Linked DNA regions of Saccharomyces cerevisiae S288C. The gene in region 3 interacts genetically with the main gene of each other region. Each region holds a gene or a part of one and is shown on either strand. Other genes may lie near its edges.

Evidence for each region.
Region 1: mutations in RRP8 (region 3) and TMA23 together harm fitness more than expected from each alone (negative genetic interaction), as found in Saccharomyces cerevisiae (3 studies listed by BioGRID).
Region 2: mutations in RRP8 (region 3) and REI1 together harm fitness more than expected from each alone (negative genetic interaction), as found in Saccharomyces cerevisiae (2 studies listed by BioGRID).
Region 4: mutations in RRP8 (region 3) and TEF4 together harm fitness more than expected from each alone (negative genetic interaction), as found in Saccharomyces cerevisiae (3 studies listed by BioGRID).

The regions. Positions count from the first base shown.
Region 1 is NC_001145.3:802,512-805,709, forward strand, and holds TMA23 (Tma23p), read left to right. Parts: upstream 1-1,944; coding exon 1,945-2,580; downstream 2,581-3,198. Other genes in the region: inorganic diphosphatase PPA2, read left to right, coding at 1-193; U6 snRNP complex subunit PRP24, read right to left, coding at 377-1,711; RRN9 (Rrn9p), read right to left, coding at 2,815-3,198. UniProt on the Saccharomyces cerevisiae protein: Trans-acting factors of the ribosome biogenesis process.
Region 2 is NC_001134.8:738,139-741,735, forward strand, and holds REI1 (Rei1p), read left to right. Parts: upstream 1-1,702; coding exon 1,703-2,884; downstream 2,885-3,597. Other genes in the region: Rab family GTPase YPT10, read right to left, coding at 1-231; TSC10 (3-dehydrosphinganine reductase), read left to right, coding at 444-1,406; SLM6 (Slm6p), read right to left, coding at 1,798-2,250; mitochondrial 54S ribosomal protein mL54 MRPL37, read left to right, coding at 3,161-3,478. UniProt on the Saccharomyces cerevisiae protein: Pre-60S-associated factor involved in the cytoplasmic maturation of the 60S subunit. Involved in the dissociation and recycling of other late pre-60S factors like ARX1, TIF6 and ALB1 before newly synthesized large ribosomal subunits enter translation.
Region 3 is NC_001136.10:610,460-613,964, forward strand, and holds RRP8 (25S rRNA (adenine645-N1)-methyltransferase), read left to right. Parts: upstream 1-1,613; coding exon 1,614-2,792; downstream 2,793-3,505. Other genes in the region: STN1 (Stn1p), read left to right, coding at 1-1,466; TVP23 (Tvp23p), read right to left, coding at 2,946-3,505. UniProt on the Saccharomyces cerevisiae protein: S-adenosyl-L-methionine-dependent methyltransferase that specifically methylates the N(1) position of adenine 645 in 25S rRNA. Required both for ribosomal 40S and 60S subunits biogenesis. Required for efficient pre-rRNA cleavage at site A2.
Region 4 is NC_001143.9:280,736-284,978, reverse strand, and holds TEF4 (translation elongation factor EF1B gamma), read right to left. Parts: upstream 2,089-4,243; coding exon 1,884-2,088; intron 1,795-1,883; exon of another isoform or gene 1,700-1,794; intron 1,558-1,699; coding exon 524-1,557; downstream 1-523. Other genes in the region: ribosome biosynthesis protein RRP14, read left to right, coding at 2,650-3,954; HOT13 (Hot13p), read right to left, coding at 4,120-4,243. UniProt on the Saccharomyces cerevisiae protein: Subunit of the eukaryotic elongation factor 1 complex (eEF1). Probably plays a role in anchoring the complex to other cellular components.

The DNA.
Region 1 (3,198 bases), on a different chromosome or scaffold from region 3:
AAATTCCAATAAAACCATCCAAACTATAAAGAAATGTCACAATTCGTGGAAAAACCTCATTTCAGGATCACTCCAGGAGAAGTATGACAACCTGCCTAATACAGAAAGGGCTGGTAATGGTGTCACACTTGAAGATAGTGTTAAACCCCCTTCTCAAATACCGCCTGAGGTGCAAAAATGGTATTACGTTTAATATGAAAATAATACCTTCGAAGAAAATGTTTAGATAAAGGTTCCTTGTATATAATTACGTAATCTCTGCTCTCTCGAATGTTGGCTGCTTGATGTATGTGAACGTTTGGAAAGAAACTTGGGTTTATATTCACTGCTAAAATGACATCCTATTAGAAGTTCGTCTTTCTCCGGTTCGGTTAGTCTACTCACCTAGAAACATCTTGCGAAAATCGTCGTTGGACATCTGCTCTTGTTTGTCAGGAATTTTTTTCTTTACTTGAAGATTTGGTCCTTTTTCCATCATGTTTATACAACTAGGTTTGACGTGTTTCATGCTGTGATTCTGTTGATTGTTATAATATCTTTTCATGTCATTAATAGTACCTGAACGTATCACCTTTCCCTGAAATTGAGATCCATTTAGTATCATTAGCATTTTTGCTGCAAACTTACTATCTCTAAATATAATAATGGCGCCATTGAAGTCGCTAACGAGAAGTATTTTCCTAATATCTTTTTCATTGATGTGTATTTCTTCCTGAAGAAATTGGCAGATTAAGCTTGGTGACACCTTATCTGAAAGTGGAAATAAGCATATTAGTGTTTCTAGTTCTTTGCTGTTACGCGATGCGAGAAGTCTTTTGACTTCGTTTCTTTCTAAGAATGGTTTTTTATCAGCCAAGGAAACGGAAATTTCCCTATTACCTAACAAACTTCTATTCATTTGAAGTGCCCTTTCAGCAGAATCTTTATTTTCAAAAACCATAAATGCACAACAGTTATTGAAACTGTGCTCTTTCTGTCCAGCAGGTATGTTGATTTTTTCAATGGAACCAAATCCCTCAAAAGATTCCCTCAGAAGGTTTTCGTCGAGCAATTCTGTACTTAGGTTTCGTATCATAATCTCTCGCCCCTCTAGTGTGGCAGAATCGGTCCGTTTCGACTTTTCCAGCGGATTGGAAACTTTAGTAACTAAAGTATAACCTTCTATTTTGAGTCCATTCAATTTTTCTACACAATATCTTGCATCCTCTTTAGAAGTAACATCGATGTAAGCGAACCTTCTGCTTGTATTGAATCGTAAACTGGGAAGCCGTATACTGAGTGCAACAACGTTAATATCTTGCAATAGATCTCTAATATTTCTTTGAGTATAACTTGGGGGGAAATTCGTCATCCATAATGTGCATTCTGTTAAATGAGATACTATAATTTCATTCTGACCTACAACTTTGTGTGTTTTGGTTATTGCAGCGAGGGCTCCATCATACCTGGCAAATTCAATACGTGCAAAACGAAAGTTCTTCTTCAGCGAATCCGCAACATCAACGTGTATAATGGGCCCACAATGTTTGAAGTACTTATAGACTTTGTTTTGATTATAGCTCTTAGGCAAATTTTTGACTAATACAGTTGTTAATTCTCTATTTCTTGTTAAAGCTTCGTTCGCCTTCTTAGAAGTTAATCCTGCGGCTGCTGGTGATCCTTCATCCAATGGTCGTTTTGAATCTGGTCTAGCGTGATGTCCATACTCCATTATCACAGATTATGAAGTGAATATGTGGGCTTGTTTATCGCTAATGATTCTCATATAATAAATATAAAGGGTTTTCAATGTTGTAGTAAATCTGCCATTTTGAATAAGTTCCCGCCTGAAAATTTTTTAGCGATGACTTTAAAAAAGACATTGATGCACTCTACAATTCATTGTCATGATGTACATAGAAAATTGAATGATACAAGCGGAAATATTATCAGAATAAATCGGACATGGATAGCAAAGAATATCTGATATCATATGGTTGGAAAGAAGGAGAAGCGTTTAGAGAAGGTGGTTTGAAAAGACCCATACTGGTAAAGCACAAGAGAGATAAGAAGGGATTGGGTAATGCTCCTGGCGGGAATGATGGCGAAGCATGGTGGGAAAGGCTATTTGATGGACATCTGAAGAACCTGGATGTAAGCACTGATTCGAATAATGGCAGTATTAAATTTACTCAAAATGAGGCAGTTGCTACTGCTGTATCGAAAAGTAGCTCACCTCTATACAGGTGGTTTGTAAAGGGAGAAGGGCTGAAAGGAACCATTACTAATCTTGGTAAAAAGGAGGAAGCCAGCTTTGTTGTATCTAGTGCAAGTTCGAGTAAAGGGAAGAAGAGAAGAAGGCGTGATGAAGATGATAACAAGGTCAAGAGAAAAAAATTGAAAAAAGATAAAAAGACTAGTAACGACAGTGAGAGTAAGAAGAAGAAGAAGAAGAAAAGCAAGAAGGAGAGTAAAAAAGGAAAGAAAAGTAAGCATAGCAGCGATGAAGGTGATAAATCGAAGCATAAAAAATCCAAAAAGTCAAAAAAACATAAAAAGGAAGAAAGTTCAGCAAGAAGAGATAGAAAGGAGCATATATGATTATCATAGTCTAATATGTAAATATGTATCCGTAAAAGACATTCTTAAAAGTTTGAATTTATGATCTTTTTATTTTTGTATTTAGTCTTTGTTTTCGAACTTTTATTAATATTAAATTTCAGTAAGTAAATTAAAAGAACATCTTTAAAAGAGTATATTTATTGTTACATATGTTGATCTTAAAAGGAGATGAATATTTCTTAATGGAAAAAGGTAAAAAAAAGATTTTCTCATTCATATGTTCCCATTAGGCAGTTCTATGAGGCAGTCGTCCAACTCGTAATCAGAGATCTCATTCTCATCCTCTAAGTAGCCCTTTACCTGAAAAAATGTTCTTTTGTTTAGAGCATCTTCCGTCTCTTCACGATTTAAGCGTTGTAGCTTGGATTTGTCCTTTGATGTCAACCGTTTATCCTTCAATAACTTTTCCACAGGTATGAAATCTTCTCTTGTTTTACTTAATAGCTCCTTTAAGTATGAACTGGTCTTTTTTGGCTGGTGATACTTTTTTAGAATTTGTTTGGGCAGTCTGAATTTTCTCTTTTTATACTTTTCTGGGATATCGTTATATAGCTCTAATGATTTCATGTAGATATCCGTCATATCCTCGTTCATTTC
Region 2 (3,597 bases), on a different chromosome or scaffold from region 3:
TGGCACCAGTGATTTATACCGTTCCTGACCCGCCGTGTCCCATATCTCCATATGGATACGTTTCTCCGTAGAGGAGTCGTTAGAAGGAACCTCGATTGTCTTGGTGATGAACGCCGCACCTATCGTAGCCGCATGTTTTGCTAGAAACTTACCTGATTTGAGCCTAGTCACTATACTGGTTTTCCCCACTGATGAATCTCCTAGCAGTACCACTTTGATGGTTGCTTCCATATCGTATTCCTCCGTATTTTGTGCTACTTGTATTTCCTGGAGTAATTTTACTATCATTGTTCCTTAACGTGAAACGTAAGGCTAAAAAACAATAAACGACAAAAAAAAAACAAAAAAATGAAAAATGCAGAGGAGTTTCTCTGCATTTACTGGAAGCGATTAAATAAGATTGCCTCAAGAAAAGAAGTTATCGGTATAATCTTTTGTAGGTAATGAAGTTTACGTTAGAAGACCAAGTTGTGTTGATCACTGGTGGTTCACAAGGTCTTGGAAAGGAATTCGCCAAAAAATATTATAATGAGGCTGAAAACACAAAGATTATTATCGTCAGTAGGTCAGAGGCTAGACTGCTGGACACATGCAACGAAATTAGGATTGAAGCTCACCTGAGAAGGGAAACCACTGACGAGGGCCAAGTGCAACATAAGTTGGCTGCGCCCTTGGACCTTGAGCAACGGTTATTTTACTACCCATGCGACTTGTCCTGCTACGAATCCGTGGAATGTTTGTTCAATGCCCTGAGAGACTTGGATTTACTCCCTACACAAACGTTATGCTGTGCAGGGGGGGCTGTTCCTAAGTTATTTCGTGGGCTAAGCGGACATGAGTTGAACTTGGGTATGGACATCAACTATAAAACAACTTTGAACGTGGCACATCAGATTGCCCTTGCAGAGCAAACCAAGGAACACCACCTCATCATCTTTTCTAGTGCCACCGCGCTTTACCCATTTGTGGGCTATTCCCAGTATGCGCCTGCAAAAGCTGCAATCAAATCACTGGTAGCAATCTTAAGACAAGAACTGACGAACTTCCGTATCAGTTGTGTTTATCCTGGTAATTTTGAAAGCGAAGGTTTCACTGTAGAGCAGCTAACGAAACCCGAAATTACAAAGTTGATCGAAGGCCCCTCAGACGCTATCCCATGCAAACAAGCATGTGATATCATTGCCAAGTCGCTGGCCAGAGGTGATGATGACGTTTTTACAGATTTTGTCGGATGGATGATAATGGGGATGGACCTTGGGCTCACCGCAAAGAAAAGCCGCTTTGTTCCGTTGCAATGGATTTTTGGTGTCCTATCAAACATTCTGGTCGTGCCATTCTACATGGTTGGCTGTTCCTGGTATATCAGGAAATGGTTTCGTGAAAATGACGGCAAGAAGGCCAACTGAGAGCACATCCACTCTCATTCCCGATATTCCCCGTGACTCTCTTTATTTCTTTCAAGACAAACCCTAGTGGTGTAGCTATTTGTACATGTATAAGTATATACGAAATATTAATTATAACATTATTACCACGGCGATATTTTCCTATTTTTATTCTCTTTTCTTACTATATTTTGAAAGTTTTTCTTATGGGTACCGATGCGATGAGGTGAAAAAAATTTTCCTCTTTCCACTTTTAGTACAGGTTATGAGATGCTTCTCATTAGAAGTCAAGAAGAGAGCATATCAGTAACAATACGATGAGTAGCAGTGGTGTTTATACGTGTAATTCATGTGTCCTGACCTTTGATTCAAGCGACGAGCAGCGGGCCCACATGAAGTCCGATTGGCATCGCTACAATTTGAAAAGACGTGTTGCACAATTGCCACCAATATCATTTGAGACATTTGACTCCAAAGTGTCTGCAGCTGCTGCCAGTACTAGTAAGTCTGCTGAAAAGGAGAAACCTGTTACCAAAAAGGAGTTGAAAAGAAGGGAAAAGCAAGCATTGCTCGAAAAGAAAAAGAAACTGTTGGAAATTGCCAGGGCTAATATGCTTGAAAACATGCAAAAGAGCCAAGAGGGAAATACTCCCGACCTAAGCAAGCTCTCTTTGCAAGAAAATGAGGAGAACAAGGAAAAGGAAGAACCTAAGAAGGAGGAGCCTGAACAGTTGACCGAGGAAGAAATGGCGGAAAGAGTAATGCAAGAAAAGCTACGCAACAGAGTCGATATTCCACTGGAACAATGTCTATTTTGTGAGCACAATAAGCACTTCAAAGATGTTGAAGAAAACCTGGAACACATGTTTAGGACCCACGGGTTTTATATCCCAGAACAGAAATATCTAGTCGACAAGATCGGCTTGGTAAAATACATGTCGGAGAAGATTGGTCTTGGGAACATTTGTATTGTTTGTAATTACCAGGGGAGAACGTTGACCGCTGTAAGACAGCACATGTTGGCAAAGAGACACTGTAAAATTCCCTACGAAAGCGAGGATGAAAGGTTGGAGATATCTGAATTCTACGATTTTACAAGCTCATACGCAAACTTTAATAGCAACACAACACCAGACAACGAAGATGACTGGGAAGACGTGGGCAGCGACGAAGCCGGAAGCGACGACGAAGATCTGCCACAAGAGTACTTATATAACGATGGTATAGAGCTGCATCTACCGACAGGCATCAAAGTTGGCCACAGGTCCTTGCAAAGATACTACAAGCAAGACTTAAAGCCCGAGGTGATACTGACCGAAGGCCAAGGTACCCTGGTCGCTGCAGAGACGAGATCGTTCTTACCTGCCTTCGACAAAAAGGGCGTGCAGACTCAACAGCGTGTTTGGCAAACTGAGAGGTTCGACAAGAAAAGGCTCGATAAGAGAAGTGCCAAGTTCGTCAATAACCAACCACACTACAGAGACCAACTTCTGCAGTAATTCTTTTTGCACTACTTTTTTTAGTATTTTGTCGCATATATACTGCTTCACCATTTGTACATTAGATAATTCTTCACTACCCCCTCTATAGCAATGTTATAGTCATTGAATCATGCTTTGAAATGCCTGTTCTAATATTCTCTTCATATAATAAATGCGTGATGCCGGGTATTTGTGCGCCCTTGTTTGGCGCAAAAATCTCGAAAGTGAAAAAACTAATAGGCTTCTTAAAGCAGTTATATCTACAGCAAAGGAAATAGCTGCTGAAGACTGAAGATGTTGGCGCGCAGTTTGGGTTACAGGTTGATATCGACCAGTCGTATCTTATATAATAAACCCACGGTTAAGTCAGTGGTGTCGTCGTGTCCTGCGGGAACATCGCTTAACTTAAACATATGGAAGAGCGGTAAAGACGCAGTGGCACTCGAGGACAAGGAGTATCCAAATTGGTTATGGAGCGTATTGGATAGTGATCACGTTGTCGAACATGCGGCTGAGGACCCAGAGGGACAGGCTCTCTTAAAGAGAAGAAAGAACATAAGGAAGGCGAACAGGCAGCGAATCAAGCAAAACAATTTCTTGAGCCAACTTTAAGCCTCCGTTAATAAGATCAAGTTTGGTATCCTTGTAAATAAATATGTGTGTACGTGGTTAAATAGTATGTTTTTAGCATAATGCCTTATTTTGTACCAACAAAAACATGATAGTTCCCA
Region 3 (3,505 bases):
TAGCTCATCAAGAAGGCGATGTTTGTTATTATATTCCAAGGCTGTTCAAATACAACAGTTATTATAGTGGGACAGAGGACGTTCGAATATTTGTTGGAGATTTAAAGTACCGGATGAGAGTTTCTTTGCAAATTTGCGAAAAGTATTATGATAGGCGGTTGTCGATGTTGTTCTGGAAAAATCATCCTTTACAGCAAATACACCTTATTGGCTGCATCATTGGACTCCAGTTCAAATGGATTGGGAAACAAGAATACATTTTTTTTCAGTTGGACGATTGTACTTCAGACTCTTCATTGGTGGGTTATACTAGTGACATGAGATTCTTAACATGTAAAGTTAAGAAGGATAGCATCCTATCATGGGGGTTGAACATAACCGATTTGATAGGCTTAACTCTTCATGTCTACGGGCAAGCAAGTTTGAACTATCAAGAGCTTCAAGTTGAATATTTAAGATTATGCTACAGTTTAACGGAAGAAATAGATCATTGGAAAATCACAATGAACATGCGTGAGCAACTTGACACGCCTTGGTCCTTAAGCGATTTTGTAATTGGAGAATTGTTCACGCAAGAGCAAGAGTGGACACCTGAGACATCACAGATTGAGGTAGTAAACCCGGATTTTGTAGGTATAGGGTACAAAACCCCAGAAAGTAAAAGAAATGAAACTACTTTCATCGAGCAACTGCAAGAAGAACGCTTGAAGGATGAATTAGAAATTATTAGTCCATACAATAGCACAGATACTTCGAATAGTGTGCATTCCTTGTCATTTCGGTTTGTATCGTCGCTAAAGGATTTTCCTGAAACTCACTTTTTGAATTCAGGTGATCAAATTGACAACGGCAATGACGAACAGTTAAAAAAACTAGAATATCAAAGCGCTAATCTACCTGTGATGATTCCCAATAGGACATCAGCAAAGTCAAACTTGATGTTGATCCTATTAGGACTACAAATGAAAGAGATTTCTAATTCTGACCTTTACAAACTAAAGGAAGTACGCAGCGTAGTAACTAGCTTAGCATCGTTTTTGTTTCAACAACAAAATGTTGGCGTCATGAAATCTTTTGACTCTTTGGAAAAGGAAGCGTTTCGAGACCTGGTTAATCGTCTAGTCAGCCAGGGTTTGATCGGATTAAAAGATAAAACAAGTGAGACATTTGATTTGCTTCCTCTAAAAAATCTTTTTGAATATGCTGAAAAACGTATATCAGTTCTAATGAAGCTACAATGTTATACAGGCACTGTGCAATTAAGTCATGTTCAGGAAAAGCTACATTTGCCGTACATAACAACGAACGGCATCGTTGATGTTTTCAAAGAATGTCTTAAAAGGACAAAGAAACAGTATCCTGAGGTACTAAAAAATTGGTGGATTGATCTTGATCCGAAGAATGGTATGGAGGACCAAAACAGTGGAATATTATTACATTTGGAATACGCAGCAGCATATTCATAATTTGTTAGAAAACTCGCATCGTCAATAACGGCGCATCTCTCTAGGCCTGAAAAATTTTGCGATGAGCTCAAAATAAGATACTATAACTTTATGCATATATTGTATATATATTATATCAAACAAATAAGGACGTTAACGAAATTTTATATGGCCTTATTTAACGTAGAAGGTTGGTCTATTAAGACAAAAACCGTCGCTTTTGATAACAAGACTAATAAGTCTTCAAAAGATAAAAAAAAAAATAATAGAAAAAATGGCAAACTTACAAGAGAACAGAAGTTGAAAGAAGAGACAGAGGCTGAGTTGAAGGAACAAGTGGAAGACATTCCTTCCGAAGGATCAGTAGCCAAAGACATCCCAAAAAAAAACCAAGAGAAAAGTGATCAAAATGAAACGAGCAAGAAACGCAAGCACGATGAAGAAGCCCCTCTGATGCAAGTAAAAGAAAATATTGAAAAACCTACAAAGAAGCAACTAACCCCTTTACAACAAAAGATGATGGCTAAACTGACTGGTTCTAGATTTAGATGGATCAATGAACAACTGTATACAATTAGCTCTGATGAAGCTTTGAAATTAATAAAAGAACAACCACAATTATTTGACGAATATCATGATGGTTTTAGATCACAAGTGCAAGCATGGCCGGAAAATCCAGTTGATGTTTTTGTTGACCAAATTCGTTATAGATGCATGAAACCTGTGAATGCTCCAGGTGGGTTACCAGGTCTTAAGGATAGTAAAGAAATAGTTATTGCTGATATGGGGTGTGGTGAAGCTCAATTAGCATTAGAAATCAACAATTTTTTCAAAAATTACAATAAGAAAGCGAAGAAATATTTGAAAAGACGCCATAAAGTCCACAGTTTTGATTTGAAGAAAGCTAACGAAAGAATAACTGTGGCAGATATTAGAAATGTGCCGCTACCAGATGAGTCCTGTACTATAGTGGTCTTCTGCCTGGCTCTAATGGGTACAAATTTCCTCGATTTCATAAAAGAAGCTTATAGGATTTTAGCGCCAAGGGGTGAATTATGGATCGCAGAAATTAAATCAAGGTTTAGTGACGGCAAAGGTAATGAATTTGTAGACGCTTTGAAGCTGATGGGATTTTTTCACAAAAAGACCTTCGACGAGAATAAGATGTTTACAAGATTCGAATTTTTCAAGCCACCTGCGGAGATTATTGAAGAGAGAAGGCAGAAATTGGAAAGAAGACAAAAGTTTATTGAAGTTGAAACTGAGAAGGAAGAATTAGAAAAGAAAAGACGGAAAATTGCCGAAGGAAAATGGCTCTTGAAGCCCTGTATTTATAAAAGAAGATAACGACTTCATCCGTCATTTTCATATTTTAATATTGTTTTTTCTTTTGTATACTATATTTATACATATAATTGTATTCTTTTCCTGTAGTACATTGCGTAAAGTAAAAATCATCTAGAAGAAGTACTCCACAATGTTCACATGAGGGACAAGGTTTTATTGTCTCTGGAAAAACGATTGGATATTAGCCAGCCTTGAAAGATTTTCAAAGCCCGGAACAGAAGGAAGAGCGAACCAATTATTAGTATCTTGACCGTCAGATTGTCCACTATTGGGCTCCCATCTATCGCAACAACGAAATCCATACGTGTTCCAGGCGGTCAGACACATTGCAACAATGACCAAAATCAGGTAGAATATTTTCAGTCTTAAAAGACACAACACAGCGAAGACACCCCAGATTACGGGTGTCACATACATCGACCACCAGAATAACTTAGAATCGATGGCATTTATTGGTGGGCCCGGCGCATATTGCTTATATGATTCGAAAGTAAAATTAGAATCTTTGTTCACATCTGTAGAATCATACCACCAGCGTAATTGGACCAGTTTCCGACCTGTAATGTTTTTTGTTAAGTAAAAGTCAAAAGAAAGTAAAAGAACGACAGTGATGAATTGAGGTGTGAAATTCAAAAACATTGATCCTATGATATAAAATACAATGGGAACTGCCTTACCTGCCAGATGAAATGATAGTAGCAACGGGTGCGACG
Region 4 (4,243 bases), on a different chromosome or scaffold from region 3:
TCTAGCAACTGCAACTTCTATATACCTCCTTTGTTTGTGTTTCTAAAGCACTGTGACAAATCCTGCTTGAAAGCACATGATATCACCAGACGTGTTGCACTATCTTCAGTTCTATCCTAAATTGTTTTCCAGTCTTAAGATAAAATTCATTCCAGTTCGGGTAACATACACCGTTTATGACTGACGCTTCTCTTTACGGAAAATTGTTTTTTTCGCTATTGTTGCAAAAGTACAATGGAAAATGCCCCACTGAAACATGAAATAAGAAGAGAAGAATCAAGTTTATGCAAAATATTGTTAGAGTAACCGCAGCAGATTGTGATACTCAATTAGAGAGATTATTACAATATATATATATATAATGATTACATGGACGTTAATCGTTACATAGAATTAAACCACGCGTAAGTATGGGGTAATCATGAAGTAGACTTCAGGGTTTTTTTCTTTTTTCTTTTGAAAATTCGTTTTGTTTGACTCTTATGTATATTGGGAAGAAAATATGGAAGAAGAGTTATTGAGATTATTTCAAAACCTTACCGTCAACAATTTCCTTATCTTCGCCATTGACAACAACAGGCTTATCCCAAGCCCACATGTTGTTGACAAATTCTTTGTCTTCTTCCTTGGTTGGGTCCAACTTGGTGTATTCGTAAGATTCCCAGTCTGGAGCGACATCAAAGGCTGGAGCGAAATCTTGGCCTCTGACCATAACGGCACCAACAATACCATTATTGTTGTTTTCACCATAGACAACTAAACAACCGAACATGTACTTAGTAGAAGCGGACAATCTGTTGAAAAAACCACCGACCAAGTTGTTGGACATGAAAGTCAAGGTAAGTTCGTCGTTGTATTTGTAACCAACCTTCCAGATGGAGTATTCTTCAGGGTTGTAGTGTTCCCAGAACCATGGCAAAGCAACTGGTCTGGTGTCGTCGTTGGAGTACTTTCTCTTCCAGTCATCCAAGACAAATGTGGACTTTCCTAAAGCTTCCAATGGGTGCTTTGGCTTTTTAGCTGGAGCAGCATCATCTGCTGGCTTAGCTTCGTCCTTCTTCTTTTCAGCCTTTGACTTTTCGGCCTTTGGCTTTTCAGCCTTTTGCTTCTTTGGTGGAGTGTAGGTTAGAGCCTTTTCAGCCAATTTGACTTCAGCAAATGGAGTCTTCACGATTGGAGAAGCAGCAACAGTGTTGAACCATCTCATCAAATGAGGATGCTTAGCTCTCCATTCAGGGCCCAAAATAGTGGCCAAACCAAAAGCCCAAGAACCAGCGGCATGAAGGTCACCTAGAGAAATGTTTTCGGTAGCAACAAAGGTGTAGTCTCTCAATCTAGCATCGAAGACAGCAGCTAGGTTGTCGATTTTAACAAAACAAGCATCAACGTCTTTCTTGTTGTATGGAATCAAACCTTTGAAAGAAAGGAATGGACGAGCAATGTTGCTCATGACATCGGAATTAGCTAGAGATGCCCATCTAAGGATTTGAGACTTTTCGATAACGTCGGAACCTAATAAGCGAGCTCTTTCTTTTTCATCGGCAACTTGATTAGCCACTAAATATACATCATCTCGATGGTTATACAACCATTAATTGAAGAAATGTTAGTAAAACAATCCTTTATATTTTTTCCTGGATTAGGACACGCTTTGTACTTCCTTTTTGTTATTTTGACTTTCATTTTTCTTTAAGAAACATATCAGAAATACAAATATCAACATATGAGAGGTTACCTATTATTACCCATTCAGACAGGGATAACTGTTTGATAAAATTTTTTTTCATCATTATGTTTCGAAGAAAAATGACGTGCCAAATAAACGAACGGGAAACGCGCAAAACAATGTATGTGGAAGTGTTAAAATAAAATATGGAACATACAATAAAATTGGATAGCCAAAGCTTCAGTTAGCTTTAAGCCCTTTGGACCCAAAAATGCAGGGGCTTGCTTCAATGGGAACAAAGAAGCAAACTCGCTAGATTGTTCTAGATCAACGATCTTGACATCTAGTTTAAAGTAAGAAATCAAAGCTTCAGAAGCGTAGTTTCTTGGAGATCTATTAATGTATAAAGTACCTTGGGACATCTTGAATCTATCGAGGGCCAAAATCAAAGAATTGAGTTGGTATTAAGGATGGACACCAGTTTTGAACAAAATTAACGACGGAATGGATGAATTAAATATGAAAAAGAAAGTATTGCAAACTGTTGATGAAAAAAATTTTTCTTTCAATTTTGTCAGCAGCAGAGCGCATTACCCTGCCGGCCACATGCCGAATTAAATTAAATGAGGGCTGCTATTGCCAAATGTGATGGCTTGCCTACAGAGGTTAATTTCCCTTGTTTTGGGCTTCCTCTCTCAACACGATTGACACAAGCAATAGAGGCAAAGGTGTGTAATGAGTTCGTGTACCAATTAAAGTAAAGTAGAGTGGTTTAATTGGGATTACACGATTAAAAAGTTTCACCCAGACACCAAATTGAAAATTTTTTAAAATGAATTCTTTTTATTCTCATCTCCGGTAAAGAAAAGAGGAAAGTACAATAAAAGAGATGAGATGACCAAGAGATGAATAACAAGTGAGGACTGAGACGTTGTTGCAAGTGATAAAGAAAGTCCGGGAATTGAAAGATATAGGAGACTGAGATGAGTAATTCACTTGAGGAGCGCCTTCGTGCTAATTCAAGCGCCTTCGATGGTTTATTGGCTTTAATTCCTGCAAAATACTATTATGATGAAAAAAGTCAAGAGCAATGGAAGGCCAAGAAGAAAACCAAAGAACAGAGTAAAAATGATAAACTGAAAAAATTAGACCCGGAGCAACGTGATGATGAAACATCTAGTACATTAGAAGTAATGAAGAAGAAGGAGAAAGACGCAAAGCCGGTGGTCCTACCTGGTGAAAAATTCAAGCACATGAAAATGCAAAAGCAAAAGGAAGCAACATCAAAAGTGGAAGGAGACTCCGACCTGAACGTAGAAGTAAACGATCCTATGATAATAGCACCAGACGAAGATGAAGAAGAGGAAGAGGATATTAAGGTGATCTTTGATGATGAGGGAAATGAAATACCATTAGAATCTAAAAAAGATACTACAGAGCCCGATAGATCTGTCGAAAAGAAGTCTATTACAGAGGAAGAGAAACTACAAAGAAAGAAAAACTTGGAAGCACTACGTTCCAAGTTACAAGCGAAAATTTCAGATATGAAGAGTAAAAGGAAAGCACCCGGTTCTAGAGAGGCTATTCTTGCTCAAAGGAAACGCAAGGAAGAGTTGAAAAAAAGAAAGCGTCTAGAAAGTGAACAGGAACAGGATCAGGATGAAATTGCGTCTGATTCCGATATGGAAGACATCGATAGTGATTTAGAAAACAATTCGAAAAAAAGATTCAAAAAAGGCAAGAAGGACTCAGAAATTAACGCAGATGGTGTAATGTTTCAAAATATCATATTCGATGATGGTGCAAGGGCCACTTCAGATTTACAAAGGTTAAGAAAAGCTGGTAGAACGAAGGGTCCGGCTAAGAATGATGTAAAATCACACTTAAAGTTATTAGAAGCCAAGAAGAATAAGATGGAGGCGAAAGACGAACTAGAACAAATCAAGCAGAAGGAAAAGGAAAAATGGCAAAAGGCTATGTTACAAGCAGAAGGAATTAAGATTAGGGATGACGAAAAACTACTTCGCAAAGCTATAAAGAGAAAGGAAGCACAAAAGAGAAAGTCTGCGATTGAATGGAGCGAACGTAAGAGGGTTGTGGAAGACACGATATCTGAAAGACAAAAGAGAAGAGAAGAGAATCTGAGGATTAGGAAAGACAACAAGGGTAAAAAGAGAAATAAGCAAGAAAAGATGAAAAGAAAGTATGTCGGTAGTGCCGTACCAAAGAAAAGAGCCGGATTTGAGGGTAGATTAAAAACAGGTAAAAAGAAGGGAGGACCTAAATAATAATCACGATAATAATAACAACAATAATAGATATATATATATGTATGAACATATATATACAGATACATATATATATATATATATCTATATATATACCATCGCATTTTTTCCTTAACGAGAAGAGCACAGCAGAGCTTAAGATGGCATGCATTTATAGAACAACACTCAACACATAGCGGGGGGAGGGTTCTGGAAATACAAATGGTAGTGCAATTTACAGCCTGGATTAAAGGGGGATCTGCAATTGGGACAAATAAGGTTTGAATTGTAGTCGTAATACTCTGCAAAC